2 linked regions of the Caenorhabditis elegans genome follow. The protein of the gene in region 1 interacts with the protein of each later gene in a pairwise test. Each region holds a gene or a part of one and is shown in the gene's direction. Other genes may lie near its edges. The genes, in order: Y43F8B.2 and bag-1.

Region 1 (4,835 bases):
ATTTCGAAAATTTTTTTTTTCCATTTTTTTTCCAAATTTTTTTTTCAAAACCTTATCCAAATAATATTTACATCATTTTCAGCTAATCCTCTCGCACTTTTCACTTCAAAAAAAATGCTCATTGAGCCCTGCAAAATGTTGTTTTTCTCCCCCCCCCCCCCCCCCCACTTTCCTCTCAATTTTCTCGTTATTTTTCAGTTTTTCATTGTTTTTTTGCTCCGTTGAGCACACTTTTTTCTTTTTCTTTTTTTTATCTCTGAGTGTCTATTTATGGCACATTTTTCATTTTGAGAAAAAAAACGAAAAAAAAACTTTCGAAGCTCACACTCTCTCGGCATTTATTGCCTCTTTTTTAGGGGCTTCCGGTGAGTTTTTTTTGAGAAGAAGCTTTCAATTCAAATTTATTGATTTGAATGTGCTCATTGTGCATAGAAATCAAATTTTTTTGTTAGTTAGTTTAAATAAGAAAAAACTTTTTTTTGAATTTTTAAAAAATCGAGAAAATTTTTTTTTTCAAATTTTTTTGTGAAATGTTAAAATTATTTTTTCAAAACGTTTACTCAATTTTTAATAATTTTTTCGCTCTAAAAAATATGTGCTTTTTCAAAAAAATTGCATTATTCTTTTGCGGGAAATTTGAATTTTCAATTAATTTTTGGCTGTAAATTCACAATTTTTTTTTTACAAAATTTCTGTCAATTTTTGGAAAGAAAATCCAAATTTTCAGTCAATTTTTGGCGGGAAATTTAAATTTTCTGCCAATTTTTAACAGAAAATTGAAATTTTCAGTTACTTTCCTTTGTCAATGTTATGCCCTTTTTGTCATTTATGAAGCCATAATTTACGAAAAAAATTAAAAAATTTTTTTGTTGTAAAAATGCCCATATTTAACCCCCTGTTAACCCTCTACATTTTTCCCATCAAATTTCCCTTCAAATTGATCTTTTCCCCGTTCAGATGACGTCATCAACCTTTAAAGATTCTCTCATTTCTCTGCCCAACTCTCTCATTTTCTAATACTATTTCTTAAAAATCTTATCAAATTTTGGATGTCTTTTCTTATCAGAAAAAGAAAACTTTTGAAAGTTGAAAATAAATTAATGATTGATAACTGGAATTGGTGTTCTTTGGTGATTCGGGCTTTGGAACTTTTTGGAATTTTTTTTTGAAAATTTCAGAGAAAAAATTTAAAAAAAAAAAAGCTATATCCTTTTTTTGAAAAAATGTTAACGAAAAAAAAAAATGAAAATTTTTTTCGTGAATTTTAAACTTAAAAGTTGTACTATTTTTTCAATATAAATTATGTAATTTTCAAATTTTTGCCAATAAGTGGGCGGAGCCTCAGTGACGTCACACCTCACTTATCTAGAACTAGTTGCTGGAAAAGCAGCTGAAATCCTTCTGATTCGATTTGTATGTGCAAAAAAATAATCCCCCGACTTTATACATTTTCTCAAGTATTTTCGCGTTTAATTTATAGCTGTTAAGCCCCCTGACTGACTCCGCCCACTTTTTGGATTTATTCGAAATTAAAAAAAAATATTTCTGAAAATTTTCCAACTGAAAATGCGACCTTCCAGAAGCCATCACTTCCAATTTTTACTGAAATCAGAGACTTTTAGCCGGAAAGTGAGTTTATTTTCTGAAAATTTTGAAAAAACATTCATAAACTTCAAAATGACGTCACTCTACCGATTTTTTATATTTTTCAAAATTAAAAAACAATTTTCGAGCAGAAAATTTCAACCAACATTTGCTATAAATTTCATAAAATATATCTCTAAAAACTACAAAACTACGAGTGTTTTCGTAGCGGAACCCAAATCTTCCAAATTTTTTTAAAATTTTTTTCGAAAAATTCCTAAATTCAAAATGACGTGACTCCGCCCATTTTTGAGATTTTTCAAATTTTTTAAATTTCAATATGAGCTTGAAATTTCAGCCAACAAATGCTATGAATTTCATAAAAACAACCTCCAAAAACTACAGTACCATGGGCGTTTTCGTGGTGGGACCCAAAATTTCCAAAAAAAAATTTTTTTCTGGAAAATGTTATCAAACTTCCAGAGCACGTCGCTCCGCCTATTTTTGAGATTTTTTGAAATTGTGTGATTTTTATGAGCAGAAAAAAAAACAAATTTCATAACAACGCTCCAAAAACTACAATACGACGAACGTTTTCGTGGCGGGACCCAAAATTTCGAAAAAAAAAGTTTTTATGGAAAACAATCTCAAATTTTAAAATGACGTCACTTTACCAATATTTGAGTTTTTTTTTGAATTTTTCAATTCAATATGAGCTTAAAATTTTACAAAAGTATCCCAAAAAATTTCACGAGTGTATCTTCAATTTCTACAGTACCCCAGAACTTTTCGCGGCGGGACCCAAAAATTAAATTTTTTTTGAAAAAAATTTGAAATTCTTCAGTTTTAAAATGACGTCACTCTACCGATACTTGAGTTTTTTTTTTCGAAATTTTTCCACGCGTTTTTATAAACGTCTTTATTATCTACAGTATCCCAGAACTTTTCGCGGCGGGACCCAAAACTAAATTTTTTCGAAGAAATATTCTCAAATGTTGAAAATGACGTCACTTTACCAATTTTTGAAATTTTTTGATTTTTTTTGATTCAATATGAGCTTGAAATTTCACACAACCCCAAAGTTAAAAAAAAAATTTTTTTGCAGATGCCAAATTGCTCCTGTACAATCCGTTGCGAGTGTCGGATCACCAATTTGACCGGCGAAACTCTTGAGGCGGCTCCGGAGTATTTGAAAAAAAAGTGAGAAGAAGCCGGCTATGCAAAATTCAATCTTTTTCAAAAATTTTCAGCGCAATCCGATGGAGCTCCGCGGCTCAGATATACGAGGAGCTCAAAAATCCCGGCCATTTTCAGCTTTGTCACGTCGAAAAACGATACAAGAAAAATAAATCCAAAAGTCGTGAGTTTATCAAGAAAAACAGAAAATTCAAATTTTTCAGTCGGACTGCAATTTTTGACGCTAAACTCAATTTTGTGTTTTTTAGCCCAAATTTTTTTTGCAAAAACATGAGATTTTTGGGTAGTTTTCTTGGAAAAATGATGATAAATTTTCAGAATACCACTCCCCGGAGCGATCCCCTGCGGGGACACCTCACCATCACCGCCGCCTATCACATAATCACTTGGCGTACGGTGGAAGTATGTCGGAATTGAATTGTACACAGAGGTTTGTGAAGAGGAATTTTTTTTTTTTTGGAATTAGAAAATTGCTAAGTTTAAAATTTGTGAGTTTTTCAAAAAATAAAAAATTTTTGGACTAAATTTTTGGACTAAATTTTTTTTGATTTTTTTCAAAATTTTCCCCAAAAACTCGCAATTTGCCTTAAAATTTTTGAGTACTAAAGTACGCGTTTATTTAATTGCTCTTTTTTGCAAACTGCAGAGTACCGTTCCCCTTAAAGTAAATATTGAAAAAAAGAGTTAGGTTCATTTTTTTTGCCCCCAAAAATCACATGATTTACACAGTGAAACGTGAGATTTCCGTCATTTTTTCTTTCTGCTGTTCAAGTAATTAGAGATTAGTTTCGTTAAGTTCACCGAGCATTTTGACTCATTGGCTCAATTTTTCCAGCTGGCTTCACCTATTTTTGGGGATTAGGAATCTGATTGAAAATTATTATTGTGCGAAAATTGCCAACAAATTGCCAGAAAGTCGTCAAAAAATTGCCAAAATGTTGTTGATAGATTCCAAAAAAAAAACCACAAAGTTGACAAAAGTTGCCAAAAAGTTGTCAAGAAGTTGTCAAAATTCGCGAGAAAGTCACCAAAAAATTTACAAAAACTGACGAAATGTTGGCAAAGAATTGTCAAAAAGATGGCAGAAAGTCGCCAAAAATTGGCAAGAATTGTCGAAAAACTGCCGGAAAGCTTTGAAGTTTGTCAGGAAGCTACCGAAACTTTTGGCGACTTTCGCCAGACATTTGCCAGTTTTTGCCGGTTTTTTCCAGCTTTTTGTCAATTTTCGTTCAACTTTCCCCTATCCTTTGCAAACTAAATTTTAATTTTTTTTTTGACTTTTGTTTGGCTTTGCTAATTTAATTTTTTTTTTGACTTTTGTTTGGCTTTGCTAATTTTGTGCCTATTTTTTTGCCAACTTTCTTCTAACTTACCCAAATTAGCTCCAAACACCTGATAACTGTGTCTTATAGGTGTTTGCCAACTTTTTCATTTTATTTGTACCCCTATGCGTCACAAAAACACATCTGTCGTACTTTTCTGATTCCAAAAATAGCAAATTTTCAGTCAAAAGTCCTACAAAATAAAGGAATGACGTGTGATAATTGTTTTCCATGCCATTTCCATCAGTGTCTAATAGGAAAAAGAATACAAAATGAGCAGAGCCCCCTGAAATAATTGAGTTCCAGCTTTTTGGGAATGTGCTCCACAAAAAGTTTTTGTGCTCATTGTGCTCATTTTGTGTCAGTGCACACGAAAAAGTCTGTGATTTATAGGAATTTTCTGAGCATTTTTCGAGTTTTGGAGAGTGTTCAACAAGTTTTGCCAAATTTTTGGCAATTTTTTGCTAACTTGCTTTAAGTTTTGGCAATTTTTGCCAAATTTTGCCAATTTTACTCCAAAGATAGATAAGTTTATTGCAAGTTACGGAGACCTTTTCGCAAAATTTGACAAGCTTTAAATTTTTCATAATTTTAACATTTTTGGCAACATTCTGGCAACATTTGTCATCTTTACTACAATTATGGTAGAGTTTTCACAATTTTTGGGCACAAATTGTCAACTTTTGACGATTTTCGTCAACTTTCTACATATGTTTTATAACTTTTGACATT
Region 2 (3,308 bases), on another chromosome or scaffold:
AAAGCTCGAAAACTTTTTTTCGAGTAGGTTATTGCTGAAATTAAATTAATATAAACTGTTTCTTTTTTTGGTGACTTACTTTCTGATGATCGACTTGACTTTCGCTTCATTTTCCAACAAACCAAGTACTGGAGCCATTTACTATAAGAACTAAATTAAATATTAAATATATCGTTTCAAGAATTCATTGGAATGAGGCAAAAGTAAATACTTAGGATTAAAAAATCCAGCTTTATATTAAAAACTTTAAAGGCGCATATGAGATGTTATTCGGGTCCCGCAGCGCTCATGCGGGGTACGATAGTACTTCAAAGAATTACGCGGGAATTTCTTTTATGCGGGAAAACGGTTTTTTCTTGTTTACTAGTTCCTTTCTTTCGTCTAATTTTGATATCTTGTGTTTTTTTCCAATTATAAAATGTTTGTCTCTTCTTAAATTTGAAATTTTGAAATTTTTCAGATGTCAGGGCTTGACGACCGGAAAAAACTAACACATGCAAAAAATAGGAAGCCTCTCAACGACATTCCGAAATCCGCTGAAAACAGACCAAATACAAGATCTACTTCGAGTCGGTGAGTTCTACGAAAAAAGTATCTGAAGCGATTATATTTTTTTCAGACGCGGTGCGGAAAAGGACGTTCCCATCACTTTCATCGGGAGTTCTCGAACTGTGAAAGCCGATCTGCCCGAGTTCACAAATACTCGCTCAAGACGTCCATTGCATTCCGAGTCGAAGAAGGAATTGTCTCGGAACCCGGTTTCGAGAGGTGAAGAACATAGCAGTTCTTTGCCAAAATCCTCCCCAGAATCATCCGTGTCAGTCATGTCATCAAACGCGTCGTTGTGGTCCGCATGCACCGAGGAAGTGAATAAAATCGGTGTTTGTGCGAAGCGAGAGAGCAGAAGTAGGATTTGCAGAGTTTTGATTTTTCAGTTTATGTTTTCTTTTCAGATCTTCGTGTTTATAAGATGAAGAGTTTCACAAGTAACATGGAACAGATATTGTCAAACGACAACCAACTCGCTCCCACAGTCATTAGAATTCTGAATAGTAGAAACTCTTGGTGTCTCAACTCGTGCCATGCTTGTTTAACATTTATCATGGGTTGGTTTTGCTTCCTGATAAATTTATTCTAATGTTTTGTAATTCAGAAAATATCACGAGCGACAATTATGGGAAGCGATCGGCTTGCTTGAAGGCTCTTGCATCAATTACCAACAGTTTACTGGACACAATCATCGGATTTGCATCCACCAAAACTCGGCGAATTGGAGTCGATGTGGTAGCTGAAGAGCGAGCTGCAAAAGCAACAGAGTGCATTCACAATTTTCGCAAAATAGTTAAAAATCGGGACAAAATCTACAAACAGATTGACCAGGAGACAATTTACAAACTCGATGCCATTCTCGAGCGATTGAAAAAAGTTTCCAGCCATAAGTAATTTTCTTGTAAATAATTGCATACTTATTATTCAACCGATGGTTATCACCCAACTCACTGTTTATTTTATTGCTCATACATTGTGTTTCTTACATGTCCAATATAAAAACTATCATGTGCTCTCGTATTGTGACTTAAAAACAAAAATGGGCTAATTTAATGTCCCTCACAGTATCGTACGAAAACGGTGATTCATTGTCTATGGAATCGTTTTTCTCTGAAGTCTCTGAGCGAGTGCGCCCCATTGCAATCGATGTGTACACCTCGTGGAGGAACTGATTTTCGCATAAGCTTCTCGTCATTTCTAGAAGTTTCTTAATTTTCTAATAAGTTAACAATAATTTTGTTCCAATTTCTTATTTATCGACACTCGGAGGCTTCTCCCACTGCTAAAACTGTCTCAAAATCAATTTTCAGAAATGAAGGTGAATGTGTCGTGTTCATCCGTTCAAACTACAATCGACATTCTTGAGGAAAATCAAGGAGAAGACGAATCTATTTTGACACTTGGGCAGCTACGCGATCGAATCGCCACCGACAATGATGTTGATGTTGAAACCATGAAGTTGTTGCACAGAGGTTGTTTCTGATTTTTTGGAATAATGAGACAAAGTATTTTACAGGAAAGTTTCTTCAAGGCGCCGACGATGTCTCCCTTTCTACTTTAAATTTTAAAGAAAATGATAAAATCATTGTGATGGGTGGAAAAAATGCTTTGGTTGATGACGCGGGCTTCAAAATGCTCATGCAATATGAGAAGCATAATTTGAGCAATCTTCAAAAAGCCTATGATCTCAATTTGAGAGATGTCGCTGATTTGGAACGTGGTTTTCTCGAAAAACCAAAGCAGGTCGAGATGGGGAAAAAGCTGGAAAAGAAAGTGAAATATTTCAACGAAGAGGCGGAAAGACATCTGGAAACTCTTGATGGGATGAATATTATCACTGAAACTACTCCCGAAAATCAGGTGTGTCATAATTTTATTTTGTACTTTGAATAAGTTTTCGATTCAGTTCAATCAACTTTCAGGCTAAGCGAAACCGTGAAAAACGCAAGACGCTCGTAAACGGAATCCAAACTCTTCTTAATCAAAATGACGCACTTCTTCGGAGACTCCAGGAATATCAGTCAGTTCTCAACGGAGACATTCCTGAATAATTCTCAATTGCATAAAATTGCTTCGGGTTTTTATGTTATGAAACTCAGTTATAAATCAATAAATTATATTCTTATGCTATGTATCAAAGGGAGGAAAAGGGGCAAAACAACTGACGGGACCCATTAAAATGAGAAGGCTGCTAATTACAAAAAAAAGAGCAATGGTGTGAAAAAATTAATAACGAGTTCTTTTATCATTGAAAAATGATTTGAGCAGGAAAACTTGGCCAATTCCAATGAATACTACGACGGCAGATTGACCAAGGGACCAGATCATCACGCGCTCGTTGAGTTCTTCTGCACGTTTGCGACCAGTTGCTTCACGGAGACGATGATGAGTTTGATAGTCATCAATCTACAAAAAAGTTTATAAGTATGTCAAATGTCGGGTGAACAACTTTTTTAGTAAGCTCCCAGCAAAATAGAGTTGGAAAAATGAACGAATTCATAAAATTCGAAAAAGTTACGTTTTGAGCATTTTCTAATTGTAAAAATAAATCTTTTTAAATAAAAATCTTACTGTTCTCAATTTATCTCCAATAGCGACTGCATAATTTTCTAATTGAGTCATTGCATGAGCTCCTTGAGTAACGGCAGCATGAAGAGCATTTTGATCACCGAATTGCCAATCCATGTAAACGATTTTATGAGAGAATGTGGAGAATTCATTTGAAAAGCATGCTTTGTATGTTCCTTCAACTTCGGCCT

The links.
Region 2: the proteins of Y43F8B.2 (region 1) and bag-1 interact in a two-hybrid assay, tested with the Caenorhabditis elegans proteins (2 studies listed by BioGRID).

What each region holds. Positions count from the first base shown.
Region 1 is NC_003283.11:19,529,842-19,534,676, reverse strand, and holds the start of Y43F8B.2 (GSKIP domain-containing protein), read left to right. Parts: upstream 1-1,566; coding exon 1,567-1,629; intron 1,630-2,689; coding exon 2,690-2,784; intron 2,785-2,834; coding exon 2,835-2,944; intron 2,945-3,099; coding exon 3,100-3,211; intron 3,212-4,835.
Region 2 is NC_003279.8:6,563,003-6,566,310, reverse strand, and holds bag-1 (BAG family molecular chaperone regulator 1), read left to right. Parts: upstream 1-1,859; 5' UTR 1,860-1,861; coding exon 1,862-2,021; intron 2,022-2,065; coding exon 2,066-2,409; intron 2,410-2,471; coding exon 2,472-2,600; 3' UTR 2,601-2,682; downstream 2,683-3,308. Other genes in the region: syp-6 (Thyroid receptor-interacting protein 11), read right to left, coding at 1-34, 80-138; mei-2 (Meiotic spindle formation protein 2), read left to right, coding at 461-573, 620-906, 954-1,106, 1,154-1,443; tmed-3 (GOLD domain-containing protein), read right to left, coding at 2,776-2,955, 3,121-3,308. UniProt on the Caenorhabditis elegans protein: May inhibit the chaperone activity of HSP70/HSC70 by promoting substrate release in an ATP-dependent manner.